Linked DNA regions of Rhinolophus ferrumequinum. The protein of the gene in region 1 purifies or fractionates together with the protein of each later gene. This does not show direct contact. Links are inferred from orthologs where the notes say so. Each region holds a gene or a part of one and is shown in the gene's direction. Other genes may lie near its edges.

The links. Proteins that work in one complex are often made in the same cells at the same time.
Region 2: the proteins of CSNK1D (region 1) and CRY2 purify together in Homo sapiens (affinity purification with mass spectrometry; 3 studies listed by BioGRID and IntAct, counting the BioPlex papers as one, with this or other methods). This does not show direct contact. The link is inferred for Rhinolophus ferrumequinum from reciprocal best matches to the Homo sapiens genes CSNK1D and CRY2.
Region 3: the proteins of CSNK1D (region 1) and CRY1 purify together in Homo sapiens (affinity purification with mass spectrometry; 3 studies listed by BioGRID and IntAct, counting the BioPlex papers as one, with this or other methods). This does not show direct contact. The link is inferred for Rhinolophus ferrumequinum from reciprocal best matches to the Homo sapiens genes CSNK1D and CRY1.
Region 4: the proteins of CSNK1D (region 1) and SNX24 purify together in Homo sapiens (affinity purification with mass spectrometry; 3 studies listed by BioGRID and IntAct, counting the BioPlex papers as one, with this or other methods). This does not show direct contact. The link is inferred for Rhinolophus ferrumequinum from reciprocal best matches to the Homo sapiens genes CSNK1D and SNX24.

Annotation. Positions count from the first base shown.
Region 1 is NC_046304.1:54,977,492-54,985,343, reverse strand, and holds the start of CSNK1D (casein kinase I), read left to right. Parts: upstream 1-4,851; 5' UTR 4,852-5,169; coding exon 5,170-5,245; intron 5,246-7,852. UniProt on the Homo sapiens protein: Essential serine/threonine-protein kinase that regulates diverse cellular growth and survival processes including Wnt signaling, DNA repair and circadian rhythms. It can phosphorylate a large number of proteins.
Region 2 is NC_046294.1:15,001,910-15,009,422, reverse strand, and holds the start of CRY2 (cryptochrome-2), read left to right. Parts: upstream 1-4,503; 5' UTR 4,504-4,545; coding exon 4,546-4,760; intron 4,761-7,513. UniProt on the Homo sapiens protein: Transcriptional repressor which forms a core component of the circadian clock.
Region 3 is NC_046293.1:13,616,322-13,624,060, forward strand, and holds the start of CRY1 (cryptochrome-1), read left to right. Parts: upstream 1-4,729; 5' UTR 4,730-5,347; coding exon 5,348-5,505; intron 5,506-7,739.
Region 4 is NC_046290.1:84,382,231-84,389,429, forward strand, and holds the start of SNX24 (sorting nexin-24), read left to right. Parts: upstream 1-4,189; 5' UTR 4,190-4,205; coding exon 4,206-4,271; intron 4,272-4,396; exon of another isoform or gene 4,397-4,690; coding exon of another isoform or gene 4,691-4,696; intron 4,697-7,199. UniProt on the Homo sapiens protein: May be involved in several stages of intracellular trafficking.

The DNA of each region.
Region 1 (7,852 bases):
CAAATATGTAGTTTCATGAGTCCAGCATTGCAGCCCCACACAGCGTCTCCCGGCCCAAACACCCCCCTACACCCCAGCACCACTGCTCTCCTCACTGCCTCCACAGTTTTGCTTGGTCCAGTTTAGCATGTAAAGGGAATCATACACATGTAGCCGTTACATGCTGGCTTCCTTCACTTAGCAATATGCACTTAATTCATCTGTGCCTTTTGTGGCTTGATAGTTGACTGCTTTAGTGCTGAATAATAGCCAGATGTCTGAATGTTTCGGTTGGTTTATCCATTCATCTACTGAAGGATATCTTGGTTACATCCAGTTTGGGGCAATTATGAACTAACCTGCCATAAATATTCTCAGGAAGGTTTTTGTGTGGGTGCAGGTTTATAACTCAGTTGGGTAAATACTCCAGGTTGCTATAACAAAATACCATAGACTGGGTGACTGCAGTAACAGCCATTTATCTTTCAAGGTCCTGGAAATGAAATCCAAGATCACGGAGCCAGCAGCCCTGGTGTGTGTTGGGAGGGCCGCTTCCTGACTGTCCTCGTGTGGCAGGGGGCTCGCTCTCAGGCCTCTTCTTATAAGGGCACTAATGCCATCGCCACTGCCAAAGGCCGCACCTCCTAACCCCATCACAGTGCTGGCCTGCACAGCACTGCCCGCCCCCCACTCCCAGGCCTGTGGGTGAGCCCCATTGGAGAGCATCCCAAACTTGCCCTGACTTGACCCCGGAACCCTCAACTCCTGCATCAGCGCCAGGACGCCCCTCCAGAGGCCTCCTGACAGAACATGCTTGGGGTTGACCAGGGCTGGGTCACTCGACCCAGAGTCAGGCTCAGCGAGGCCTCCATCCAGTGGGCAGAGCAGCAATCAGGCACTGGGCTCGTTCTAGGGCGGGGTCTCCACCCTGTGCACTGCATCCCTGACCTCCAGGTCTGATGTGCCAGCAATCCCCCGATTGTGACAATGGGACACTGCCACATGTCGCCCCACCCCCACCCCAGCTGAGAGCCCTGGTCCCAGCGGCCCAAGCGAGCTTTCTGGGGACGATGGAAATGCTCTGAGCTGTGCTGTCCGATCCCCGTGCCACTGAGCATTTGGACCATGGCTACCAAGGCTGAGGAACTGGATTTTTACTTTTAGTTCATTTTAATTAATTTAATAGCCATGTGTGGCTAGTGGCTGCCTCTAGAGCAAACACTTGTCAGCGCTAGAATCCTAGCCAACCCTGACACCCCCCTTCATGAGGCCTGTCATGCGGGGTCTCAGCTCCCACTCCCCACAGAAGAACACAGGACATGGTGAGGCCAAAAAGGAACACCCACGGAGCCATGGATGGGGGTTCACACCACTATAGTCTCGCTGGCGGCTGGGTTGGAGACACAGGAAGCAGGAGCCACACGATCCACAACCCGCCATCCGCTTCTCTGCCAACCCCCCAACCCCCCAACGCAGCCCCGGCACTTATATCAGTGGCTAAGGGCTAACCGGTAACAGCTGATGGCCACCCAGCCACAGCGGACGGCCATCTACTACCTGAGCCAGCACCTTTCCACGTGAGGCCGAGAGCCTGGAAACTGCTCCTTGGGACTCTGTCCCCGAAAGGCCTCTGTCAGCCTTGCCTGTGCTCTGGCTGCTGCTGGGAAGTTGCTTGTGAGCCTCTGCGCGCCCTCCCTGTGAGCCCCCTCCCCCAGACCAAGGTAATTCCTCCTTCAGATCTCAGGGACGGTCACCTCCCTATGGAAGCTGCTGGAAGCTGCGAACTACAGCCTGGTTCCCGCGTGTGGTGTGGCCTGCAACCCGTCTGGTCCTCCATAGTCCTGGCCCAGTTGGCAATCACTATTCCCTTTGTGATGGTTGGCTTCCCTAGGCCGGAACTCCGTGGGCAGGTGTTCATTAAATGGGGATAATCGTTAGTGCTGGTCCCGTCGGGCATCGGCATCGGCCTGCGGGTGAGGAGTGGGCACAGGTCCTGCCTCGCCGGGGGGTCTTAGTAGGAAGCCACTGTCCAGTCGGCACCATCAGCTGCTCTGGTGGCAAACATCACTGCTGCTGCCTGCGTGACGGCTCCTTTTCCAAGTAAACAGTAGTTATATAAACAGCTAATATTTATACAGCAGTTGTTTCCAGGCCCTGTTCTGAACTGTGCCCGTGGTAACCCTCTCACCCTTCTCCACAGCTCTAGGGTTCGATGATGTTATTCCTATTTCACAGATGAGAGCACAGAGGCACAGAGAGGTTGAGTTACCAGCACAAGGGTGCAGAGCTGGAGGCAGAGCGGGAACTGAAACTTGGGCACCTGACCTCCACCCCAGCCCAGACTCTCAGTCACTGCCTTTAAAGGTAGTGGCTCCTCCCCTCCTGTTCAGTCCAGGCTGGGCTGTCTCCATTGTAGCAACCATGGGGCTGGGAAGACCGGGAAGTTAGCTGAACAAAGGTGTGTGTGTCTGTGGGAGGAGAGGGGGAAACACATTACAGGTGCAGCATTTGCAGGGGCCCTGAGCAGAGACATTGACGCATTCAGGGAACTGTTATCATTCCTGTGGGATGGTGAGGACCCTCCAAAATCTTAGCACGGAAGCTGGGTTCAGTCCCCAGAGGCTGACCCATGCTTTTTTTTCAATTCAGATAAAATTAACATAAAATTCACCATTTTAACTGTTTGAAAGTGTACAGGTCAGTGGCTTTGTGTCCATTCATGATGTTGTATACTTGTCTGCTCCCTAGTTCTGAAATGCGCTGGTCCTCCCCAAAGAGGATCCCCAGGCCCACCAGCAGTCTCCCCCCAGCCCGCTCCCCAGCCCTAATCCGCTTCCTGGTCTGTGGATTTGTCCGTTCTGGACACTTCATGTAAACAGAATCATACAGCATGTTGCCCCTTGAACCCGGCTTCTTCAGTGTTTCAGGGTCCATCCACATTGTAGCAGGTGTCAGAGCTTCTTTCTTTACATGGTTGTGTGATAATTACTCCACATAGGATAAACTACATAGGGTTTATCCATTCATTCATTATGGATATATGGGCTGTAAAAAGTTGCTTACATGTGATAAATAAAACAACGCTGCTCTGAACATTTGTGCATACATTTCTCTGTGGACAGATATCTTCAGTTCTCTTGGGTACCGACCTGGGAGTGGAGCTTCTGGGTCACATGGTAACTCTGCCTTTATCTCTTGAGGAACCCCACACTGGCTTCCAAAGTGGCTGCATTGTTTTACATTCCCTCCAGGAGTACGAAGGTTCGACTTGGGTCGGTTTTAAGCAGGCAGGGCTTGCATGGGATGTGAGCTCTAGAACCATCTTTATAGCCATGCTGTGGACAGCAGCCTGTGGACAGTAGGCTGGGAGGCAGTGAGACCTGTCATTGGGGACGAGCTCTGATCAGACAATGTAGTTTAACTTCTTGTTGAAGTCATGGGGAGTCACAAGATGTTCTGGAGAGCTCATGTTACTGATTACGTGTTGGCTGATTATCCTGACCAAGTTTGTGAATAAACAGGTGAAGCAGGCAGAAACCTGGGGCCTGGGGTGGTCCAAAGAGCTGCCACTTCTTTCTGAGACAGGACACTGAGGCCCCAGGAGGGGACTGCAGGCCATCAATCAGCCGGGGCAGCTCAGGGAGTGGTCCATTATGTCCAGGGAGCGGGCTCCAGGCCCCTTTCTGGTTCCAGTTTGCACTTGTGGCTTTCTCCGGTGGGTGAAGCAGGCACTGCCCATCATCAGTTCTGCCACCATGGCTATTTTACTAGTTTGTCAAAACCCACCCCCAGCCCTAAGACTGAAAAACTGGGCAACCACTGGGCAGGGACGGAGCCATTCCCGATTGCCCACCAGTCCACCACGGACTGATTGCTCAGGAATTGATGCCGGCCTCACCAACCGGACCTCCAAACATTTTCCGACAAAGGCTGCTCTCCTGAGGCTGCCTGTGCCACAGGAAGGGCCTGGTTCTGACCATCTGCTCCGGCTACTCTAGCCCACACCTCTGTGCACACGGGAGTGTGTTTGCTAGATGTCCAAACATATATGTTAACAGCCTGTTTCACCGTTGCCACTTTAGCCGGGGTTGAGGATAGGCCTAGAGACGTGTCCATATGGAAGCCCTTTCTTCTCAATTTGGCGGCCTTTCCCAGACTCCCTTCCCAGTGACTGGAGTGGAGTCCAGATCAGCCTGAACTTCAACGTTCCAGCTTTCTTTTGCAAGGAAGAACTTTCAGACCGCACACAGATTAGATAACAATGCTGACTAAGTCTCCAGGCGGATGGGCCTGGAGAGGCGGACTGTCCGGGCCTCACCCTTTGAAGCCCTGGTAGCTTCACCTTCACCTTCACCCTTCAGGCCTGACGCCAGACCCGAGGACGTGTCTCTCCGTCCTTCCGCCCTAGGTTTGAGTGTGTAGGACGGGACGTCAGGGGCAGTGGCAGGCCGTGCTGCAAGCCCTGGACTGCACAGTAGCTAAGTCCCGAGCTGCCAAAAGGGCCGTGCACACCTCTGTCCCCTGTGACCCGGCCAGTGTCACTCCCTCCCGGCGCCGACCCAGGGCGGAAGGCCCTCCTCCTTTTGAGTGCGAGGGCGCTGCCTGCGGGCCTGTCCCGGGTCTGTCGCCAGGAGCCGCTGGCTTCCCAGACACCCGCGGGGGCAAACGTGGAGGCTGCACACGGGAAGCGGCCGGGTGGGAGCTGCAGACCTGCGACGGGGACTTCGGGCCACAGAGAATAAGGGGCTGGCCCCGGCGTCGGTGGTTCGCAAGGACGCCGGAGCCCGCTCGCCCCGCCCCCTGGGCAGCGCAGCCCCGCCCCCGGCAGCGCGGCCCCGCCCGCCGGGTTGCTAAGGGAAGTGACGTCACAGCGCGATGGCGGCGGCTCCTTCAGGCAGCTGAAGGGGGATTTAGGCCCGGAATATCCGAGTCCATCCGCGACGGGGAGAGGGCGAGCGGGGCCGGAGGGGGCCGGAGCAGGGGCGGCGGCGCTCGGACTGTCCCATCCGCCCCTTATTGAGGCGCTGGGAACGGCGGGGCGGCCGGAAAGCGATGGTGAAAGCGGGGCCGTGAGGGGGGCGGAGCCGGCAGCCGGACCCGCAGTAGCGGCAGCAGCGGCGCCGCCTCCCCGAGCTCAGACCCAGGAAGCGGCCGGGAGGGTAGGAGCGAGCCGGGCCCGCCGCCGCCGCCATGGAGCTCAGAGTCGGGAACAGGTACCGGCTGGGCCGGAAGATCGGCAGCGGCTCCTTCGGAGACATCTACCTTGGTGAGGCGCCCCTCCCCCGGGCCGGGGCCGCCCCCAGCCCGGCGCCCGCCCGGGACCCCGCCCCCGGCCGCTGACCCCGGCCCCGCCCCGGGACCCGCTCCTGTCGGGACCCCGCGGCTTCCAGGGGACCCTGTGGCCTTCCCGAGCCGCGGCCCGCGCCGCCCGGCCCGAGGGCACCTGCCCCAACGTGCGCCCGGCGCCGCCACCGGGCAGTGGCCGGGCCGCGGCCCGAGGCCCCCGCTGCCCCCGCTGCCCGGCGTCGGCGCCGGTGACCCGCAGACGGACAAACGCCGTCGGGCGGTGTGCGGCCCCCGCGTCCTGCGCGCGTGCGGTGGGCTGGGCGGGGCGGGGCGGGCGGGACCGGCCGGGCGAGGCTCCCGCGCCCCTCGGTGCCCTTCGCGACCAGGCAGCCCCGGCTGAGCGGCCCCGGCGGGCGTCGGCCGGGCGAGCGGTGCCGCGGACGTGTTGCGCATCCGAGCCCCGACTGGGCGCCGGTTAAAGAGGAGACGTTGACGGGGCTGGAGACCCGGTCCGCGCGGACGCGACCCGCTGTCCCTCCGCGCTTGTCCCTTGGGCTGTGAAATTGTCAATATAGATTTGAGAGCCGTGTTAGTGTTCGAATGTTCTGGGTTGGCTTAGGTTTCCCTCGAAAGGACGCGCACGTGCACGTGTGGAATAAGAGGAGGCTCGAATCCCACAGTTGGACGTTTAGAAAGAAGGTGTCTGCGTTTCTCGGGAATCGCCCGTCAGTTATGCCCCCACCCCCGGATTGGGACCGTCCAGCCCGGCTCGCGACCGCGACCGGTGTGCAGAGGGACCACCCTGGCACGTTGGGGATTCACAGGCCCCGCGGTGGGCAGCCCGCTCTGCTGTTTCCCTCTGGTCGCTGTGCCTGTCAGGGAGGGTCGGGAGTACTTCCCTTGTCGGTATTTCTGGTGGTGCCTGCACCTGAGCCCAGGTGTGTGCGCTCACCGCACGCACGTCCTTCTGTCTTGTCACCTGGAGAGGACGCAGGGCCTTCAGAGGGGCCCACACGTGCGCTGGGGAAGTTCATCACTGCTTCTGGTGCCTCGGTGCCCTGCAGAGTACCCCCGTCACATGCCACATTTGTGCCTACTGTCCTGCTGAGTAAAATACACTTTGGAGACACTGGGATTCTTCTATTTAAATATTTATATGCAGTAGTCAGCCGAATGCGTTCTCAGCAGCGTTTTGGGCCGGGTAAGTGCAAGCTGTTTGCCTTATTTATAGAACAATAGATTTTGGCAAAAGTTTTAACTTACGATCTAGGAGCTGTGCTGAAAAGCCAGTCCGTTAGTCACCCTTGCACAGGCATCAGAAAGTAGATGCCTTGAAATTTTTTGTCCTCTGGTCAGACTTCCCAGACAGCTCTGTGCTTTCCGAAGCTGGGTTTGGACGATTGCATTGTGGACCAGTTGTCACCAGGTCAGTCACACGATGTAAACTGTCTCATCGGGAGTGGGAGCTCGGTGGGGACCCACCTGCCCGTTCACCACGGCGTCCTTTGGGCCTCAGCCATGTGGGCGCACCTGCTACAGGTCCAGTTGACCGGGCCCGAGGGGTCTGTCCTCGGTCTCTGTCCCTGTGCTCTAAGATGGATGGACGGTGGCTCTCACGCCCTCCTGAGCACCCACACAGCCCACCGTCGGGGTGCACGTGGAGGTATTGTATGGGACGGAGCATAACCAGGCGTCTTCCCTCAGCATTGGCTCTTGGCCCACATGGGGGTCCTTTCAGGCTGCAAGTTACCCACTGAAAATGTGAAGTGACCTTGCTAGTTTGAGATGTGGCTGGAAAAGGTGGGTCTGAGGCAGCTCACTGTGTACTGTAGTTAAGGGTCAAAGATGACAGGTCCAAAGAGCAGGGGATGGATTGCGTTATTTGTACTGTAGTTTTTTCCTGTTTGTTTAGGCCTCTAATTAGGCATCACTTAAGGAATTGAGTCCTCCTCGTGGGAATCGGTATGTTCGTGGAGGGAAGGCTGGCCTCCAGCTTGCTGCGCGCCTCGTGGATCAGGAAGGCCCAGTGCTGGCCTGTCTCCTGGTGTCCTGCAGGCTGACTCGGGCATGCAGCACTGGGCCCTGCCAGGTCACTCCAATCGTTCCCCAAATTGCCCCTTCAAAGGGGGGCAGTATCTCGGGTCTGATTCTCCCATGCATGGGCTTCAGAAAGTACTTGGACTGGGGCCACCGTGGACCCCAAAACGTATAGTCTTGAACCTCAGTCTGCCTCCCCCTAAGCTTGACCGGTCCTGAAGGCTCCTGGGCAGGGCTGGATGGGGAGGCCTCAGTGCTCACGTCCTGTGTGCATGCGTGCAGCACACACTTAGGCAGAAGGAATTGCAGGTGGGCGTGAGGCGAAGCTTCTCACTCTCCGGCCTCCCTCAGCTTGAGCTTCCCGCAAGCTTTAGCCCCTGGTGGCTGGAGGTGAGGTGTCTTGCAAAAGGCAGTGGGTCCCCGAAGTCGTTTCGCTTTGGTGGCAGTGTGCGTCTCATACGTTTGATAATGTTCAAAAACCAAGGGAGAGCCAGTGTTCTTAACGTGGACCCGTGTTCCAAACCCCAGTGTGACTAGGAAGCTGGGGTGT
Region 2 (7,513 bases), on another chromosome or scaffold:
TGGCTGTGAATGTATACATATATAAATGTTTTCTTTTGTGTCTGGCTTCTTTTGTTCAATATTCAATTTATGAGATTCATCCATGTTGTTGAATCTAACTACAGTTTGTTCATTCTTATTATTGTATAGCATTCCTTTGTTTGACTACACCACAATTTATTTATCCATTCTACCACTTATGGATGTTTAGGACTATTACTAACAATACTACTATGAATATTTCTGTAATGTCTTTGCCATACATGTGCACAGATTTCTGGTTGGTATGTGGTAGGAATAAAAAATTGCTCCGTCATAGGGTGTATCATTCACAATCCGTAGGGTATGTAGTTGTTCAAATTGAGTATTAACACCAGACAGTTTTCTAAAGTGGTTGTATCAATTTACATTCCCAACACTAGTGTATGAGTGTTTTAATTCCTCACATCTTCCCCAACACTTGGTTTTGTCAGTCCTTTAACTTTATCCATTCTGGTGGGTCTATAGTGATATCTCATTGTGGTTTTTGTTTCCCCAAGGTGAGCTCCTTTCTATGTGTTCATTGGCCACTTGCATATCCTTTGTGGGAGAGGGAATGGAAAGTGTTTGCTCAGGTCTCTGGCCTTTAACAAGTTTCACGGGGCTGCCAGTGTTCCTTTTCTTTTTCACCTCTAAGAGTTCTTTAAATATTCTCGATTTGAGCTCTTTAAGAATTATGTGTTACGGCTACTTCCGGTCCATGATTTGCTTTTTCACTCTCTAAATAATGTTTTTTGATAAACAGCAGTGCATAATTTCAATATAGTTCAATTTATTAATCTGTTCCTTTATGGTTAGCCCTTTCCATGTCTTAAGAGTTTTTTGTCTACCCCGAAGGTCATGAGGATACTCTCCTATATAATCTTCTCAAAGCCTTACTGTTTTATCTTTCCCATTAAGCATATAATCTACCTGGAACTGATTTGTATGTTCTGAGATAGGGGTCAAGATTAATATTTTTACACTGGGATATCTGATTGACCCATTTCCATCACAGGAAAAACCACCTTTACCTCACTTCTTTACATAGACATATTTGTCATGAATAAAATACCAGATATGGGAGAGTCGGTTTCCGGATTCTCAATTCTGAAACTTTTGTCTATTTATTTTATTCCAATCCCATGCTGCACCGCTATCATCATCATCATCATCTTCTTCTTCCCCCTTTCACAAATGAGGAAACTGAGACACAGGAGCTAAGTAACTTGCCCAAGTAAATAATTTGCTAGTTAATGGCAGAGCTGGAAATGGAACCCAAGGAGTCTGCCTTTTCAGTCCATGCTCTCAATAAGTTTTACAGTTTCTTGCGTGAAGTCATGGAAACAAGAATTCCACTGCTACACACTGCAGAACGCCGCGTGACTAAAGGAAGAGGGCGGGGCCCTGATGCTCCTGCCTCAGCCGGAAACCGGCCCTCTGCTTCTTTCCCAATCGCACCACTAGAGGGCGCTGGTAATTTAAACTCTCCAGCGACGTCCCTCCCTCCTAATCCTGGTTACCATTCAACCAATCATCAAGTATTTACCCAAAACGCAGTTCAAAGGGAATGTAAAAAATTGCCCAATCTAGTCTCCATGCAGGATGTAACAAAGAGACAAACAGAACCGATGTTTGCCTTCTTCAATATCTTCAGCAAGGAAAGAAACTTCCCACTATCTGATTAATTTGTCTCATTCCTAAATCACTTTACACTAAATCCCTCCTTAAATCTCTTACTCTTCCCAGCTCACACTAGATTCTTTTATTTTATCCTTAGGGGAAACAAAGAGCAACTGTTTGGCATTCTCATGGCAACCACTCCTCAGAGTTGCTTGTAAATAACAAGATATATAGCTATGACGTCAAACCTCACTCTCTCAAAGATATAATAGTACACGATTACATTTCATCTCCTTCGCAATTTACAGGCTTCTTTGGTCTCGCTCCAATTTCTCCATGTCCCTTTCAAAGTGTGAAGTCCAAAAGTGGACGTTGCACTCCAGTATTGTATCCAGTGCCAGGTTTACTTCCTGATTCTTGAATGTTACCCTGTTAACATACCCAAGCAATATGCAATCATTCAATAAAATAATTCATCTTTATCAACTTGTTGAAGAATTATATAGTAATTAAAATAACAAACACAAAGACAATGACGTAGCATGCTTAATATTTTGTTTGAGAAACTCATGCAATACTGCACCTCTGCTTTGATTAAAATTATAAAAAGATATTTGTAGACAAAGACTAGAAGGCAACATGAGGATAAAAAAATAATTGATTTGTTTGATTTTGGGGGATTGATGGTGATTACTTACCAACGTAATGCAGAGTCAAAGAAGAACCAGAATTTGAACCCAGCCATTCCAAATGTGCAAGACGTTGGGCTTAACCACTATACCACACTGACTGTCAATGATAGCCTAATACTGTAGGGATAAATGACATTCGATCATTCAGCAAATATTTATTGAGCACTTACTACATGTCAGGTACCAAACTAAATGCTGCAAACACACGGATGAGCAAGATAAACACAGTCCCTGCCCTCATGGAACTCACAGTTTATAGAGAAAGAATCATGAGAGTACAGAGGAGAAAAAGAGAAGAATACACATCTTTAAAGCCCTAACCTCCTCACACTCTGTTCCATTCCTAAGAAGAGCATCAATCTTGTGGAGAGAAAAGGGGATAGGAGAGGGGGAACACAAAGCCTTAAAAGAAAAGTGAGGAGAAGTGGCATCTATTCAGCAAGCATTTGAAGAGGAGATTGAAAAATAAGGATCGAGTCAGGATTGAGATAGATAGATTTTTTTTTTTTTTTAAGGACCGGGATAGATTTTTAAGGTTCCTGCCAACCTGAGACCCTAGTCCCTGTACAACTTTTACTCCACTAAGCCAAGCACTGAGCTAGACCCTGAAAATAAAACTGTAAATAAGCCATGGCCCCTGCCCTCCAGGAGTTTATAGTCTTATGGGGCAAACAGACAAGTAAGAAATTCTAATACCATGTCCTAAGGCCAGTAATAAGAAGAAACACAGAATGAGATGGGGCATTATGCAGGCTGAGACCAGACAGCAAGAAGGTGACATTTATACTGATACTGAGCAGTGACACAGGGCAAACTGGAATTGGGGGATGGCGGGGGGTTGGGGGGTGGGAGGAGTGTAATCCAGGCTTGAGGGAACAGCTTGTGCAAAGCCCTGGAAATGAAAAAGAGTGTACCATTAAAACGATGCTCTGGTAACAATTTTATTGGTACCATACTGGTAACCATAAAATTTTACTGGTAACCATAAAATTGCTAAATTCCTTTATTGTTCATTCCCAAGTTCAGTAAGGGTTCCAAGCATGGGAACTTAGCACAACTTAGCACCAAATTGAAACAGACTGTTCTCCACTTGATAACCCCAGAGCTCCAGTATGACCAGACCATTTAGCCTAAGGTCAACACTTCATTGCAGGTGTTCATATGCTTGTCTTGCCATTCAGTCAGCCAATCAGCAAGCCCAGTGCTAGCCTCCATAGGAATAAGAGGGCTCCACCTGGCTCCCCAGGGCAGGAGTGGGGACAGTGTGCTTCATACCTCTGAATCCCACAGGGAATTCCAGTAGTGTTTGAGCACAATTGTACCATTGGGTCTCCTATACATAGAACTAGAAGAAAATAAATTCATCTGATGTCATAATTACTATCGCAACCCACATCCTCCACATTTCCAGTTCCTACTCTCAACCCTTTTACTGCTACCCATCAGACTCTGCCTCTTGCAAATGTCAAGTTGCTCAGCACAGATAGAAATATAGCTTTCCGGATAAAAGCAGATTAGAAATCACAATAATCTGGATGGAGTCCTCTTATTAGCTTTATGATATTGAGCAAGTCCCTCAACCTGCAGCAGCCTCAAAGTTTACTTATCTGTAAAATGAGAATAATAACAGCTCTTTCACTGGGGTTTATTGAATAAATGCAACTGGGCTGAGAGTAGTAAATGAGACAGTATGTATAAGGAGATTATCACGTTGTTTGGCATGTAAAGTGCACTCAATAAATGGTAGCTGTAGATGATGTAATAGATTGAGGTATATGGTGATGACGATGTTAATGACATGGTGACCTGGACGCCGGTTGTCCAGGTTCCGTATGTTACTGGCTGGAGTCACAGCAACCCCCGCCAGCCCAGGCAGCTTTTTCCGGTGACAGGCATTGAATAGGACGCATGTAAGGGATCCGCTGTCCTTCGAGACTGCGTCTGTGTCCAGATCTCCGCGAGAATCTCCAGCCTGCGTCATCTGCCCTGCCCGCTGGCCGCTCCCAAGCCCACCGACACATGGTGGGAACGTGAGGGGGCGGGGCCGGACTCGGCGCCGCTGGGCCAATCGCTCGGCGGGAGGCGCCCAGCCAATGGCAGAGACGCCCCAGGGCCCGAGGGGCAGGGCCACAGAGAGGAGAGGCGGTGTCATAGGTCATTGGGCGGGCTGGGGGCGGGGCCCACGGCGCTGACAGGGGCTGTACAGCAGTGGCCGGGAGCAGTCAGGGCGGTGATGGCGGCGGCTGTGGTGACCGCGGCAGCAGTGACCCCTGCGCCTGAGGCCGGCACGGATGGCGCCTCCTCAGTGCATTGGTTCCGCAAGGGGCTTCGGCTCCACGACAACCCGGCGCTGCTGGCGGCAGTGCGCGGGGCGCGCTGCGTGCGCTGTATTTACATCCTCGACCCCTGGTTCGCGGCCTCCTCCTCCGTGGGGATCAACCGATGGAGGTAAGGGGGCCCGGGGCCGGGTCGCGGGCTCGGGGTACGCAGCCTGGCCTCTGGGGCGCCTGGCGAAGAGCCTGAGTCATCCCCCACCCAAAGGAGGGAGATCCTGCTCCCCAGCTCCGACGGCCGGAAGACCCCGGCCTGAGGGAGGTGGGGCAGGAAGATGGAGCCGGGTCTCCAAAGGGGAGAAGGCAGGACCAGGGAAGCAATTAGTCATCGTACCAAAGGCTTGGATGGGCCAGGGCTCACTCTCTGACAAAGTGCTTCCGCACTGTGTGTTATCCTCCTTTGGGCCGCAGACATTCCTGTGGGACAGAGATCATGATCTCCATTGTACAGATGAGACTCTTAAGCCCTAGAGACAAAAGTTGACCTGCCCAAGGTCTTGGCAGCCAGTGAGTGACAGAACAGGGACTCCTGGTCTGGGGCTCTTAGGGGTGTGCTCAAGGACTGGAGGAAAGGAGATACTGTGATGTGAGGGTAGGGTTGGATTTCTGAGTTTATGGCACAGAGATGCTTGCGTTCTTCAAGTCAAGAGCCCGTTGCTGGGCTCCTGAAGGTCATCTCTAAGCCTCTGGTTTGTCTGAATTTGTCTTTTCACCCATCCTGGTTTCCCTACCCCAAGACTGTGCTGCCTCTGGAGGTGTCTAGAGATTCTGGCTTAACATTAGATAAGCCAAGTGCAATCTTCCCGTTGTTATTGATAAAGACCCGAAGGGCGTGTTCAGTTAGAGGTACTGTGTGTCCTGACCTAGGGAGCCGTACTTCACCCATTTTGGAGAATTCCCTCAGCAGCTGTGAGTTTGCTAGAAAAGAAAAAAAAAAAGGAACCAAACAAAGTGTCACTTCCTTGTACCTCTTCTCGTGAGAATGATTTTAAAGGTCAGTTGCGCCACTATAGATTAGATTTTTATCAACTTTTGTGGTAAGATTAGGGAGCCGCAAAGGTGTGATATCAAGGGCTCCCCTTTGGTGACTCAGGAGATGGAGTCTGCAGGATCATGGGAAAGGATAACAGATAGGTAGTTGATGTATTTTCTCTGTAACCAGTGTTCAAAACCAAGGAGTTGTGAGACATTGTGTACCCATCTCTTTAAAATGCCCCTCAGCTGTCATTTGGTTTGCTTGCATTGTTCTGGGGGATGTTTGCTTGTGGCCTTGTCAACCCATGGGCAGGGTTATTCCCAGGAGACAGTGGCTCACAGCACAACTCTCTTTTCTCTCCAGAGTGTGTGCCCTTCCAGGAGAGTGAGTGCTTCTCACAGTGGGTCTATGAAATGTCCCCTCCTGCCCCATTTATATAGAGGGAATGACTAAAGATAGTCCTGTGGAGAGCCCGCCCACACAGTTTTCAGGCTGCTCTATTGCTCTGCCTCTGCTCCACTTTCCATAGACAGGAGCTTGGCTTTGACAAACACCCTCAAATGACCGTCCCTAGCATGGTCATTAAAGCGAGCCTCAGACGTTGCCCCTTTCCTTATGGCAGTGTGCCAATCAGAGCAGAGTCAATAGAATAGGGCTACCTGCTTGTACCTAATGTCACGAAGGAGTTTCTTCTTTTACTGGGTGATGCGGGACATTGCGTAGCACTGCCTACGCCTTGTGATAGTGGAGATTAAACATCAGCAACAAAAACCGTTGTTGATTAAACTCAGATTTGCTAGGAACAAGGTGTTTATGGATTTTTATGGGTCACCCTTTTGTGATTGTGCCTTCCAGCGAGTGAAAGAGAAAAGGAACGTGGCAGCTGCTGCCTACATCAAACCCTGAAATCAGAGGCTGTGTAGGCATGCAGATATTAACTGAGCAATTATTTAATGAGTGCCTCGTATCTAACCAGGCACTGTTCTAGGTGCTGCTAGGAACATAGCAATGAACAAGCAGAGGTGGCGTCCAGAACTCCTGGAGCCTACATTTTAGTGGAGGAAGACAAGTAAACAACTATCATTTAGTAGAACTGAGGGTCACGAAATAAAATAGGGGGACGGACTAGAGCAGTGGTTTTCAATCTTGCAACACCTGGGAATCACTGAAGGATCTTTCAAAGATTCCTGGACTCTCTCCTCCCCCAATTCTGATTTAATTGTTCTGGCTTACGGCGTGGGCATTAGGGTTTTTAAAGCTCTCATGTGCTGGAAAGCCTGAGGAGCCAACCATTGGGGAGAAATGTTTCTGTGCATTGGCAGGAAGTCTAATTAGTTTGGGCATTTGGAAGAAACAAGTGAAATAATACAAAACAGATGGAATAGGATAACTGCTCCTGGGCCTGGAGAAAGACACACTCCTGCCACCCCCACCTTACTCCGCGCTCCCATGATCAGATCCAGGGCAGAGCTGCAGCGTGTTTTATGCATGCAGTTGAGCGTTGGGAGTGATGGAGCCAGCAGTTCTTCTGCATAACTACAATATGTGTAATCTTCCGGTGGCTGTTTCTGGATGTGGGAGTGGTCTGGGAGAATTGTGCTGCAGCATAACATCCTCGCTCTGCAAATACTTCAGCTATGGCCTCTGAGAAGCCTCCCTAGGAAGGGCGGGCCCCGGGCTGGCTGCAAGAGGTGGGGGAAGCAAAATCTGTGATCTCTATTATTCTCCTGCATTTCCTACGCTGACTCCCACACAGCATTTTTCACAGATGTATCAGATTAAAATAACCACGAATGGCACATTCTAAGAGTAAAAGAGGACAGAGAGGCAGCCATGGAATATATATATTTCTTAGCATAGGAGAAGGGCTAGCATACACCTTGCCTTGGTGG
Region 3 (7,739 bases), on another chromosome or scaffold:
CCATGCTGTGCAGTTATTTTCAGTCTCTGAGTAGGTACGGCCCGCTATGTCGGCCTCCCCTGAGCTTGTCAGGTTTAACATGTCTACATGATCATGTAGACAGCTTTTCTGTCTACAAGATCATGATTAGTGCTCTGATGAAAGTAAATAGGGAACTATGATAGAGACAAAGAAGGGGGCCCTTTTTAGAATGGGCTGCCTGGAAGACCTCTGAGGAGGTGACAAAAATTATGAATGTCTTTGAAACAGGCAAAAAATTACTGGATCTCTTGTCAGTTACACCTTTCAAATTACTCTCTGCCTGTTTTTATCTTTGAACTACTTTACAACTCTGTAAATTGTAGCTGATTGATAGCAATGCAAATGAACCATGTCCATGGACATGGAAATACATTTTGTCCTGTGCAAGTGCAATTGATTTCCCTCCCCTCACCCCTGTGTAGAAGAATCCAGTTTTACATATATTAAGTAAATTCATTTTTAACATTCCTGATGGGCTATGTATGTAACTGCTCTTTGAAACCTTCTTTTACTCCATTGTAACATCTTACTGGTTCCCTCATTAATTAACAAGTTAAGTAAAATCTTTGACGTGTTCATTTTATAGTCATATGAGTCATAATTTTTACCTTTAAAAAAAAAGTGATCCTTTAACACATTTAAATTCAATCCCCCAACAACTCTAGTGTTGGGAATCCCTCAGCCAAGGGCTACCAGCCTAATGAGACAGATTAGCTAGCATGTTGTTAGGTAGACAGGAAGGTCCCTGGTGGAATAAACAAAAGGCAGCCATATCCTTCACTCCAGGACACAGATATAAGAATGCGCCTTGAGGTTAATAAATTATCTCATAAATTCCTTTTGGCTGGACAAAAGGAACAAATCTGATACATAGGAATGGGTTCATTAATCCCTTTAGGGTGGGCAAACAGGACAAACCTGATAGATGAATTCCATTATAAGGCCCCAGCTCCCTTCTCCAAACTGGCACGGGAAGGTATAAAAGTAAGAGCTTTTGCTTTAGTCACTGAGCACCCTGGTCGGGACCCCCTCTCGTTCTGAGAGCTGCAACTCTTTACTCTTTACTTTTAATAAACTATCCTTTTTCACAACTCCTCACCTCTCCTTGGTCCGTGCTTCCATTCTTCGGTTTCATGAGACACGATCCCGGCACAAAGAAAATATTCTACATCACTAACATTCACATCACATCAAGACTGAATGAGCTGATCACACTGTCTACTCCTTCATTATTTGTGTGCTGATAACGCATGCCAAAAAAATCACCTCTGTAAGATGGGGTCAAGAGAGAACACAGGCTTTCAGTTTAGAGGCTGACATACTTTTATCAAGGGTGCTTATGAAATCAAAGAGATATCGATTTTTCTAACATTGGTGGCAGTTAAAAAATGTTTAACAGAACTCTTAGATATTTTTGAGCCCATGGCAGGGTTGTGTTGACAGAATCCTAGAATTTTAAAATAGCATAGAAAACTTAAAAGTCATCTACTTCAATCTCTTCATTTTATAGATGAATTAATCAGATCAAGAAAGTCTAAGTGACTTGTTGGAGTCAACTAATTAATGGTGAGCTGAAATAGAACCCAGTCCTATTCTCTTTCTACCGCCATGATGTTGGAGCCCAGCAGAATTCCACAAGATTCCTGAAATGCTCCCCATCTCTCTTTCCCCTTTTAAATACAAATACTCATTCTGAAAATGAAGGGGAGTGGTGGTGTCAATGAGGGTAGTATATCATAAAGAAAGAGCTTGGATTCAGAAATAGTCGTGGGGGGCAGCCGGTTTGCTCAGTCGGTTAGAGCGCAGTGCTCATAACACCGACATCCCCAGTTCGATTCCCACATGAACCATTGAGCTGCGCCCTCCACAACTAGATTGAAAACAATGACTTGACTTGGAGCTGATGAGTCCTGGAAAAACACACTGTTCCCAAAATATTCCCAATTAAAAATGAATAAATAAATAAATAAATTAATTAAAAAAGAAAAACAAAAAAAGAAACAGTCTTGGTTTTTAATCTAGTTTTATTACTTGTTTGTATTTCTGAGCTTTAGTGTCTTCAGCGACATAGGTATAAATTATTATTAAATAATAATGAGCTGCCTCAAAATATTATTGTGAGGGTAATAATAACCTATATAAAGTGCCTGGCACACAGTAGGTGCTCAATAAGCCATAACTATTATTAAGTGGTTACTCCCCCCAATAACAGATATATTAAAGTAACTGTTTTCATGCCATAAATATCCTCGTTTTTGTGGAATGGAGTTGACAATACTGACACTTTTATAATAAATTAGTACTTTTATGTGTAAATGAAAATTACACATACACCCACCTACAGCTGTCTGTTAAAAAAAATCCATCTTTATTAAATGAACAATCGGCAAACATAAGTCAACTCTACACAAATCAATATTCTTTCTCTACCGCCCACTGTTTCATTTGGATGCTTGAAAACAATTCTTATGTCTTTAGACACAATCTGCTTACTTTCAAACTGTCTGAAATGAAACATGAAATTGTATTTTTAAAAGTACAACAGGCCCTGGAGTATGAGGCAATCCAGGAGAGGGCACAGCTCTATACGCCACATCCTCTGCGTAGGTGATGGATCCCTCAGAGTGGTAATTACCCAAGAATCATCCCCATTGATAAAAATAACTATTTGTTTAATACTTTATAGTGAACAAAGGGTTTTCACATATAACAATTTAACTGTTTTTAAGAAACCAAAGAAAGGATGCTATATGCAACAGAGGCAAGGATGGGGAATACTATCCAGATATATTGGCTCACTAGATAATTGAATCTCTATTACTGTTACTAGTTTGCTAGTGCTGCTGTAACACAACACAAAATGAGTGGCTTAAAGCAGCAGGCATTTATTGTCTCGCAGTTCTGGAGACCAGAAGTCTGACATCAAAGTGTTGGCAGGGCTGTACTCCTGCTAATGGCTCTAGGGAAGGATTTGTTCCAGGCTGCTCTCTGAGCTTCGAGTACATAGTTCCTTGTGTGTGGCAGCATAACTCCAATCTTCACATAGCAACCTCCTTATGTGTGGGTCTGTGTCTAAATTTCCCCTTTTTATAGGACATCAGTCATATTAGACTAGAGCCCATACTAATGACCTAATCTTAACTTGACCTTATATCCAAATAAGATCACATTCACAGGGGTTATGTAAATTGTAGAGGGACACAATTCAACCAGTAGCAATTGCCATATCTTTTCTCCTTTTAACCTTGCCAAACACACAGGTGGCAAGCAGCATTCATTAATTCATTCATTCAATGAACATTTGAATGCATATATGTCAGGTTCTGTACTGGGTATTGATAACGCAAAAAAAAAAGAGAAATGGATGGAGCCTGTCTTTGAGAAGTCACACTTCAGAGGGAAGCAGAGACACATGATAATAAGTACAATTATTGAGCACCTACTTCGTACTTGGTGTTCAAATAGGCACTTTTCATTCAATCTTTACAATAAGTGATGTATCAGAGACAGGCCTGAGGGATTTGGTGAGGTCCTAATCCGCTCTGGGGAAAGGATTGTTTTCAGAAATTAGGTAGCATTTCATCTGAGTCTAAAGGAATGTGCAGAAATATACTAGGTAGGGTAAAGGTGGTTGTAGGGAGCAGCAGATTCCAAAGAAAAGCATTTTATAGAGGAAAAGATAGCACATGTAAAGGTTGACATACAGCTTGTACACTCTACAGAGGGGTGGGATTTTAGCCTATTTTCTTCTCTCCTGTATCTACAGCACTTTGAAGAGTGCCTGGTTGTTGAATGAATATAAGGGCATCATACGAATAAGGAATGGCTTGCAGTTCACTGTCGTTGGAAAGGTGGGCAAAGAGCCCTGTAAACCACACTAAATGTAAGAGACTAGGGCTGACATACTGATGTTACAGCTCTAGTATTAAAAAAATACAATCAGTCTAGGAGTGCTTGGCACTCGCCCTGCCAATTACTCCTCTTCCCCAGACCAAGTCCAAGGGTACAGCGTGGAGGTCCAGAAGACTGGTAAGGGCGCCAGCTCCACACATGCCAAAGTAGGGTTCTCTGCACAAAGCTCGACTGAAGCAGATGATTTGGGATCAAAGTCGACGTGGATCCTCCAACTCTCCTTCTCCCACTCTACCGTGCCCTCATTCCCCGCGGGGAGCCATCGCTGACTCTGGATGGGTACCAGTGCGTCTTCAGGCCTTCCGGGGACCCACAGCGGAATCCCTGAGCGCGCTCCCGCTCGCCTGCCCCGCCCTACTGACCCCTGGAACGCAGCAAGAGCGCACGCGCCCCTTCCAGAGCCAAGCGCGCGCCCGCGAGCTCCCCGCATCCCCGTGCTCATCCGGGTCTCAGCAAGCCTCAGCCAATGGTGGACGCTCGCGGCCCCCAAAGGTGGAGCTAAGCCTTCCTTCACGTGGGGCCTGTGATCGCCGCGGGGGCATCCAGGCAGCCGCGATCAGTCCGCCGAGAAAAGGGGCAGAGACCGAGAGCCCAGTGGCTGGGCGAGGATCGACGGTTTTGAGACCCAAAGGCTGTCGGCCCCTAGAAGCAACTGAAGCGCGAGCACATTCCTTAGTCAGAGCCGCTGTAGTAAACACATTTCAGAAACGTGATGTGCCGGTGGTCACGTGGCCAGCGCGCCCTCCAATGAGGAGCCGGGGGCGGGGCCGGGGCCTCTGACGCGGTGGTGTCGGCGGAGTCACCCGGGCCGCCTCGGGACCCGTCACCGGCGGGCAACCGTCCAGCGGCCTGGACCACCGCCTCCGTGCTTCGCGCTCCGTCCTCACTCGCGTCTCTGGGCGGAGAGGCAGCGTGGCCCACGGGGGCTGAGTCTTCGCTCATCCCTCTCGGTGGCTTGCCTCGGGCGGGCCGCTTTCTTCTCAGGAGCCGCCTCGGGGAGGTGAGGTTTCCGTGACGAACCTCCCGGGGCTGCGGGTGCCGGCTCGGGTTGTGGAGGAGGCTTGAGCCCTTGGAACTTGCTCACCCTCTGGGGGTCCGAGGCCCTGGAAGTTATGCGACTCGTCCAGGCCGTTGCGACGGGCGCCGGCTCCTAAAGGGCGTCACACCCGGACTCCGCTGACTGGGCAACCTAACCTCCATTCATCTTCCAGCTGCGCCTCCAGCGCCCTCTCACTCTCTGGTCCCTTCCCCGGACTCATTTTTTTCCTCTCCCCCCGTCGGCCGCCCTGTTCTTACTCCTTGGGTGCGGCGATTCTCCTGGAAGCCGAGGTGTCGGGTATGAGCCGGACCCTCGTTCCTTGATTCTCTCCGTGGAGGAACTCGGCGGGGACCCGCCGCCCGCCGCGCCGCCGGGATGGGGGTGAACGCCGTGCACTGGTTCCGAAAGGGGCTCCGGCTTCACGACAACCCCGCCCTGAAGGAGTGCATTCAGGGTGCCGACACCATCCGCTGCGTCTACATCCTCGACCCCTGGTTCGCCGGCTCCTCCAATGTGGGCATCAACAGGTGGCGGTGAGTCAGAATCCCGGGGGAAATTGATTTCGGTGTTTCAGGAATCGGGACTTGACACGCGATCGGCCCAGTCGGAGAACTTAAACCTGGGACCGCCTTGCTTGTGCCGTTTTCAACGTTGTAGACGCTTTAAGTATGAAATAGAATGGGTTTAATAGTTCGCTGGCGAGGGAGTGCTGGCCACCGGGAACGCCTTGGCCTCCGCCGTGAATGTCGTGTCTGCGTTAATGGGAACTCTCTTCCCGGATTTGTGGGGAGTTCTTCGCGGTGGAGTTAAAGAAACACCCTCCTCTTTTTCAGGGGCCCGTGGGTTGATTTCTTTGGCCTCCTTGTGGCATCGGAAAGGATTGTGTTTTTTAATGTGTATGTGTGTGTGGGTCTCGGTAAATCGTAGTATGGAGAACATCATTCATTCAGTACCGTCGCCTCCCAATCCCGTTTTCTTCCACCTTGAGGTTGCGGGAGGAAAAGCAAGGGAAACATCTGGTTTCTCTTTGCTCAGCTCTGCCTCTCAACTCCTCCTTGTGGTTGACTGGACAAAGCACCGTTTTTCTTTCTAGGCAAAGTATAATCCTTCTAGGGATCAGAGTAGTGGAAGAAATAGTAGAGAAGCTTGATGTTTTTTTCCTGAAATACCAGGCTAGTTGATTGTTAGGCCCCCTGGTGGAAATGATAGCATTCTACTGCATACCAGGCGTTGCTTTAAACTCCAGGGGATATACTAGCAGTGAATAAAACCGACTACGATTCGTGTCCTTTGTAAGCAGGTGTCCTAGAAAGTAAGATATGCAGTATTTGGTGGTGATAAATGCTATGGAGAAATACGAAGCAGAAGGGGGATGAAGAAATACGAAACAGAAAGGGGAAGAATACAAGGAGTTGGGATTAGAGTTGTAATTTTAAGTGTGGTGATTGGGAAAAACTCAGAGAGAAGTGGCAGTTGAACAAGGTGATGAAGCAAATACGGATTGTGGATGTCTAGGGGAAAAGCATTCCAGGCAGCAGGAGCATAAGAGAAAGGGCCCTGAGGTGGAAATGTGCTTCACCTTTGGAAGAAACAGCAGGAGAAACGAATATGAGGAGCAGAAGTGGAGGAAAAGAAGTAGATGAGGTCAGAGATGAAATAGGGCTAGATTGAGTAGAGCATTCTAGGCAATTATTAAGATTTGGGCTTGTACTCAGAGCAAAGTGGGAATAATTGCAGGATTATGAGCAGAGATGTGACATGCTCTGACTTAAGTTTGAAAAAAATTTCTCTGGCTGTGAGAACAGACTGAATTGGAGGGGTGCAGGAGGATAAGAGGCAGGAAGACCAGTTAGGAGGCTGTGGCATTCACCCAGGTGGGAAGTAGTAATGGCTTGGACATAGTGATGGTTGGTGGTGGACTTAGTGAGAAGTAGCCAAAAAGTGCTGAATATATTTTGAAGACAGAATCCACAGTATTTGTTGGCAGATTGGACATGTGGTGTGAGAGAAAGAGAGGAATTAGGAATGATTTCAGAATTTTTGGCTTAAGGAACTAGAAGGATGGAGCTGCACTTTGCTAAGAACGTGACGTCAGTCAGAGAAATCATTGGGGGAGGGTAGTGGAGTTCTCTTTTGAACTTGGTTAAGTTTGAGATGTTTATTACACATCCTAGTGGAGATAGCAAATCGGTTGTTGGAGTTCAGGGCAGAGATCCAGGCAGGAGGTATAAATCGGTGAGTCATCAATTTGTAGATAATATTTAAAGCTATTCATCCATATATTTGTCATACACCCAATGCATGGCAGGCACTGTTTTAGGTGCAGGGGATTCAGCATAAACAAAATAGCTAAAAAACAAAACAAAACAAAAACCCCTACCTGTTGAAGCTACATTCTAGAGGAGTCATGAAACTATATGAGAACATTAAGAAAGTTTGTGTAGATAGAAAAGAGAGGAGGTGCAAGGACTGAGCCTTGGGTGCTCTAGTGTGTAGAAATTGTGGAGCTATGGAAGAACCAGCATAGGAGATTGAAAAGAACATCTAGTAAGGTAAGAAGAAAACCCAGAAGAGTGTAGTGTCTTATAGACCAAGTAAGGAAAGTATTTCAAAAATGTTTTACGGACATCAGGTGCTGCTGATAGGTCAAGTGAGATGAAGACTAAAAGTTAAAAATTGTATTTAGCACTTTGAGGTTATTCATAATCTTGATAGAGTGGTTTCAGTAGTGTCAGAGGCAAAAGCCTTTTTGGATAGCTCAAGAGAA
Region 4 (7,199 bases), on another chromosome or scaffold:
CAGTCCCCGGCGCCCGGGGCAGAGGCGCACACCCCTTTTCTGCAGACTCACAGGTTTCAGGCCCCGCCTCCTCCAGGACCAGCTGATCTCCACCGCCCTTTAGGCCTGGAACCCACGCTCCCAAAGCCCTGCGTCCTTCGCTCCGGGTCTCGCGGTCCGGCCCCGGCCCCCCAGAGCGCCGCGGGCGGCGCGGTCAGCCGCAGACCCAGCTCTGGGCCGCGCTTCCTCCGGGTCCCGCGGGCGCAGGGAAAGAAGGCGGGGCGGCCCGGCCCGGGGCGGAGCGGCGACCGCGGCTGGGAGCCCGCCCCTACTGGCCCTCCGCGGGCCGCCTGGCGCAGCCATGGAGGTCTACATCCCGTCCTTTCGCTACGAGGAGAGTGACCTGGAAAGGGGATACACGGTAGGCGCGGTCCGCGGCCGGACAGGGCCCTGGAAGCCGGGCCGCGGTGCCTGAGCCCGGGAGGTGCCCCCGGCCGCCGCCGCCCCCGCGCGGGGGGTCCCTCCGCTCCCTCCCTTCCCCCGTCCCATAGGAAGGGCTGTGCCCCGGCGCGGTTGTCAAGGAAACGGGCACCCCCACCTCGGTGCGGCGGCTGCAGGCGCCGGGGGTCCCCGGTTCAGTCCCTTCCCCCTCCCTTTCCCACTCCCGATCTGGGGAGCAGGGGCGCCGGGAGTCGAGTCCCTAGACGCTGCGCTGGCCATTCTCCCGCCGCCCGCCTTCGGGAGCCCGGGCTGGGCTGCGTTGATTTCTGGCACAGCTGCTCCCTCTGCTCGTGGCGGGCTGATGTTGGCTTCCAAGTTCTGTAGGATTCATTCAGATGGATAATATGCTAATTTTTAAAAATCATCATTTGTAGCTGTTTATTAGCCACAGTGAACACGTGTACTGCTTTTAGATGGTTTCCAAAGTTTTTTTTTTTTCTTTCGAATTCTGCCGTGCCATGAAATAGTGAAATCAGGTATTTCATGAGCACCTGTTCCATACCTACGTAGGGCTGGAATCACTGAGAAATAAGAAACTGGGCCCCTGCTCTCTGTAGGGGAGGAGTGGGCGGGGAGGGCGGAGACAGAACCTGGGACCTTTGGGTAACAAGTTTAGAAAGTAAACAGTAGGTGCTTGATTTCCCAATGAATTTAGACAACTTTCTCTACGCAGTAGCCATTGCTAGAGGGAGAAATGCCTCCCGCTGGGTAGACCTTGGAAGAATTTATTTCCAGGTGGGCTTTGGAGAAGATTTAAGAGGGTAGTCTCAAAGGATTATTTTATTCACTTCTAATTCACTGACTTGCTAAACACCAGTTGCATTAATTTGGCAGAGAAATATTTTAACCTCTCTCTCCTCTAAATGTAACTGGGTTTCGGTGACAGCCTATTCAGAACCTTGTTTTTTCATAGGATTAAATCACCCTCTCAAAGGAATTTTTAGAATTAAGAGTTCTGTAGTGGTTGGAAAAAAAAATGCAGGGAGTATGTGGGTTTTTCGAATTTAAGTAGGCTGCTGGGTCCACGTGTCCCAAAACAAGTACTCAAAGTGCCTTCCCTTGGGGGAAACCTGCAACCAATGGGAGCTGAGCTCCTCGGTGGCCATTATTTGTATAGATAATACTTTCCAATGAATTAACATTTGGTTAAATACTCTGTATCTTCCTTTTAAGGAGCAGGGTATTGAAGTTAAATGTGAACTTATTCAAGGCTTTCTCCTTTTAGGCCTAAAACCTTGGCTGTCTTGCACTCTTCCAGGTATTGCACTTTCCATCAGCATCAGCAGCCACGGAGGGCCTGCCTTCTCTGGGGCATTCTTTTAGGATCTGAAAATAAAAAGGCTGCTTTACTGGGGGAGCTCCTTTACTGGTCTCAGTGGTCTAAGCTAAAAGTTAATTACCGCCCCCAAATAAGCACTTTTAAATAGATCAAAATTAAGGCTTATTAGCCATTTTTGATTTTCTTCTATTAGAGGCCCTGTATTTTCCTCCCAAGTTTTCATATATCTTTTTATTGGTCATATTATTACCAGGAATGTGCCAAACTCCACGTTGTAAATTAAACTGATTTGGAAGGAACCCTTTACCTGGTAAACTTGGTAGTTTATGTTGAGAGTCTGTGTGCTTTTTAAAAGTTTACTTTTTAAAAATATCCTAACTCACTTAACTTGGTAACTAGATTGTTAAGACACATTCTGCAAGTGATATTTTTCCTTTGTAAGTTTGTGAAGGGCTATTAGATACTTTGTTCCTTCTGAGCAACTATTTTATAAATGTATAGCAGATTATCCATTCAGCAGATACTGAGTGTCTGCTATATGTCTCTTCTAGGCCCCAGGAATTTAGCAGTGAAAAATATTTCACTTTAAAAAAACAAAACGTCAAAACAATCTTAGTTTCCTAAACAAGAAACTGGTAAAATAATATCTACTTAGGGTAAAAATACCTTTTACTTTAATGATTATGTTGTGTGTTAAATTTAAGAACTATATTGCATTCTAACAAATTCAGTATTGGGAAGTTTAAAGTAGAAAAGGGTGGTTCTTCCTCCCTGCTTCTAGTCTTACGCCCTCAGAGATAATACATACGTGTACTTTCTTAGAGACTCCCTCTACCCCGATGCTGTGAAAACATGTTTCTTCTTTTATAGAATAAATGACAAGATTGTACTATCACTGTCATCCTCCAATTTACGGATATCTTTCTGTGTCAATATGGATAGATCTGTCTCCTTCTAACTAGTGTAGCAAAGGGATCTTCCATAGAAGGAATGTACCCAGATTTGTTTACCCAGATCTCTGTGGGTGGCCATTGACATTGGCTTCTAATTTTTAGCAAAAATTAGAACTATGTCAAATGTTGAAATAAGACATCCCTGTACATGCTTTTTTATGCCTTCTAGGATTTCTGTAGAACATTTAACTAGGTGTGGTGCTTCTCAGCCTTCTAAAGTTTTTACAGATATTGCTCAATTGTTATTCAGAAAGTTTATACGAAGTTATGCTCGATGTACAAAGTAATTTTTGCCCTTTTAACATTTAAACATTTACTGTGAGTCTGCACTGTGTTGGGTGGGGAATTGAAAGATGAAAGAATGCAGTTTTTCCTTAAGCCTTCTCTGTTCATCAGGAAGGGCAAGGTAGGGGTGGGTTAGGTAAGGGAGGGTTAGGTAGGTGAGGGTTAGGTAGGGGAAGGATAGGTAAGGGAGGGTTAAGCAAGGAAAGGTCAGGTGGGGAGGGTTAGGCAGGGGAGGGTTAGGGTGACTGATGTCAGCTGAGTCTTGAGGAAGGACTCAGTTCTGTTCTGCCTTAGGGTGGTGTGCTGGGGGTGGGGTTGGAGGGTGCTTAGGAATGCTGACTTTTGAAATCTGTTTAGGTTTTTGCAGGATTGTGAATTCTGCAAAGAGGAAGTACAAGGCAAATATTTCAGGGGAAAGGCGTTTTAAACTCCTAGATTCACCAAAAAGCAAAAATGGGGGAGCTACTTCTAAATCATTTTAGTTTACAAAGAAGCAGGAAAGGATATTGTAACAACATGCCAATGAACTCAAATATTACTTCTTGGGGTGGTTATTCTCTACCCGCCAAGCTCCCCCCACTTACTCCCTCTCCCCCATGGCTTTTTTCTTTAGAGTCTGTTTCCCTGCTAGACTATAAGCTCCTTGAGGCTGGGACAGCGTCAGTCTCCACTTCTGTGCCCTGGTACAGGGTCTATCACATAAAGAATTCAGTACCTGTCTGCTGAACAGCTAATGAATGATTGAGGCTTCTAACAGGAGAAACGTATAAGAACAGTGATCCTGATGCAGGAAGCAGCTCAGTGGGTTGGACTGGCATCAGAGTGCAGACTGGAGTTTTTATGTCCAAACTTTTTCCAATGTTTTTCACCAAGGGCCATATTCGGTAAAATACACAAACAGCCGGGCCACTCACTCGAGGTGAAGTACGTATTGCCTCACCTGGTTTATTTAAGTAAACTAAATGTATTTTTGGAATTTGCTGCGGGCCAATTAACAATGGATTGCGGGCCGCAGTTGGCCCGTGGGCTGCAGTTTGGACACCCCTGCTCTAGAGCTACAGAGCAGGATGGTTTTCGAACCTCAGACAGTTGGAAGTCACTGGGGAGTTTTAAGGAAGGAAGTAACATGATTAACTTTGCATTTAGAAAGAAGACCGTAAAGCATGAGTCATTTAAGAGAAGTTTGCAAAATGACCAGAAAGAGAAGGATGAGGAACTGGTCAAAGGCAGCTTGGGAAGGAAAGGGGCTGACTACAAAGGATCCCCAGGGCCTGGTGAGCAGATGTGGCGCAGGGTGACTCTTGGGTGTAGGTGCCAATAACCATGTAAGAAGTGGAGCGGAGGGAGGGATAGTTCATCTGGGGACCTGTTGAGTCATTTTGTGGGGTGAGACCATTTGCTTTTGGAGTTTCTGGGCCAGAAAGAAATATGGCTCTAGGAGGTCAGTCATCATAAAAGATGGAAAAGCATGAAAGTTGATGCTTATCTCAGGAAGAACATGTGAAGTGAGGGAGGAGGGAGAACTGAAGGTAAAACCCTAGAACGTGCATGAGCAAAGAATTATTAGCAAGCATCGGGAGGGAGAAAGAAACCCAGCGGTGTGAGGCGGGAAGAGAAAGAATGGTGGATGCTTTACAAGAAGGAAAGTGCTGGATATGACTGAGAGTCCTGATATGGTGACTGTCCATTGGGCATGAGGGTAAGTAGGTTCTAGGTGCCAATATAAGCTGGTGTTTCCAGTTTCCAGGTACATTGTTGGTAAAACAACCAAACTAGAATTGCTTAGGTAACAACCCAAAAGTTTCAATGTATTAGATTTCATTTTTCATAGCAGTAAAATTTAAGGCATTCAGTTAGATGGTTTTTCAAGTCCATTGTAACTTGATGTCTTGAGTGTGCTGTGCTTATGTTTGTTGTGCAAATGTTACGATCTGGACTCTTTCTCTGATTTCTTAGTGTATCATGCTTTTCGGTACAGAGGCAGCTCTGTATAAATGCAGGGACCATTATTGCTTCTATATTTCATAGATTAAAACACAAAAAACAATACAATGAACCACCATTTATCCAGTACTCACCTTCAGTATTTCACAATTTTTATTTCATTCACCACCGGTCTTTCTTCCGTTTTTTAAAATTCTGGAATATTTTAAATCAAATCCAAGATACAATTTCACCTGTAAATATTTTACTATGACTATCTGACAGGTAAAATCTTTTTAAATAACATAACCAAAATGTAAATATTACCACAAAATCAGCAATATCTTTATATCATCTCAATGCTTGTTTATTCTTTTTCTTTTTTTAAAAACTTATTCACAGTGCAGATACTGCCTTGGAATTAACAGTGATCTGCAGGAAGTGTTATTGCCATTTTAGATTTGTGAGATTGAGGCTGGGAGGCTGAGTTAGAGGGCCTGGCTGCCTGCGTAGCCCTCCTCTCTCTGTTTGCTTTCATCCTCAGAGTAGCTTCCACCAGGTGAAGCAATGGTAACAAGTTGCAGATTTAAGAACTTTTTTTTTGTTTACTACAACACCTGGAGGGTGGGGGGAGATGTGGACATTTTTTTCCCCAGAAATTCTGAACACATACATCTGCCTTCATATTTCATTATCCCCCATTGGTTTCTGAACCAGTCCTGTTGCCAGGAGAATCCTGTGTGCCCAGTGACTGAGGCCAGGGCAACCGGACCCAATCACCATGGCCAGGATAAGTTCACCAGATAGAGTTACAATAGTTCGAGGGGCATCCCTGGAGTTGGGAATGAGGTCAGTCCATTTCTGCCATGTAACTGGAGACACCACAGCGGGAGAAGGTCAGAAGGACGGTGAGAGCACAATGCCCACAGCAGTAGCTTTCTGTCACTCGTTGTAAGCATCTGTGATGAAGGAAGCCTTTGTGTAGCAAGGACAAAGCTGGCACAGTGACTCACAGTAAGTGAACAGCATAAGCGAGCATGAAATGTGGTGAGTGATTCAATCCACCTTGTGTAGGACATGATCCTTACAGTACTTAAGGACGAGAAATACACTTTGACAACATTCTTGAACATTAACACACAGCATGCTACATTTGTTTAAAAAATCAAAATACATCCAAGAGGGTTGAATTTTGTAAATATGATGCTTAGAAATTTGGGGACAGAAATTAGTTTGTTTTCATTGAGCTAGAAATACATTTCAATCTTTTTTTTTTTTTAAGTAGTTTTTACTTTGTAATTTATTCTTATAATAGAAACTGTTAATTTTGAAATAAGTTTAGATTTACAGAAAAGTTGCAAGGTTAGGACTCAGAGTTCCTATATACCCTCACCCAGTTTCCCCATTGTTAACACCACGCATTACCGCTATAATGTCCAAACGAGGAAACTAACATTGGTACTACTATTAACTAAGCTCCAGGCTTTATGTAGACTTCAGCAGTTTTTCCACTGTCCTTTTTCTGCTCCAGGATCCAATCCAGGATATCACCACATTGCATTGTTTTGTCTGCTTTGGTGTGATACTTAGTAGTCCAAATTGTAGCACCCTGTTGCCTCAAAAATGAGGAAGGGGTGTTATCACCAATGAGCCTGTATAGATCAAATCAAATATTATTTCAGATGCTTCCTAGGTAATTATTGCCACTTGGGAAAAGCCTGTTTATAATATTCTAGCCAAAGCTACCGGTTACAGTCTAAAGGTGAAACACACAGACTGTGAACTCGTGGTGTCTGTATTGAATCTTGCCTCCAGCCTTTAGCCCGAAGTGTGACTCTGGGCAAGTTACCTAATGGCCCTGTCATTTTCCTCACCTGTAAGAGGGGACAGAATACTATTCCTTACTGGGAAGTTGGAGGATTAAATGAGATAATCCTTGCAAAGTGCAAGGAATGGTGTCTCTAGCTATGTTTGTGATTGATTCTTATTATTTCAAGTAGGGACTCCCTTGAAGTTTACTTCTTCTAAAGCTCTTTTAATAGCATTAATGATGTTAAAAGAAGTCCAGGAAAAATATTTATGCTATTTAAAATAAACTCTTCACAAATACTTTGAAGTACTTCAGAAGCAGCAATCACACATAACTTTCAAACTGTGTATGTCAATTCTGGTTTAGTTTTTTCAGCCTGTTTTTACTACATATTTTTTTCCCTTCAAGATCATAAATGCTAATATATGTACATCAATGTTTCGGAAATAGTATTATGGAGGGCATAGAG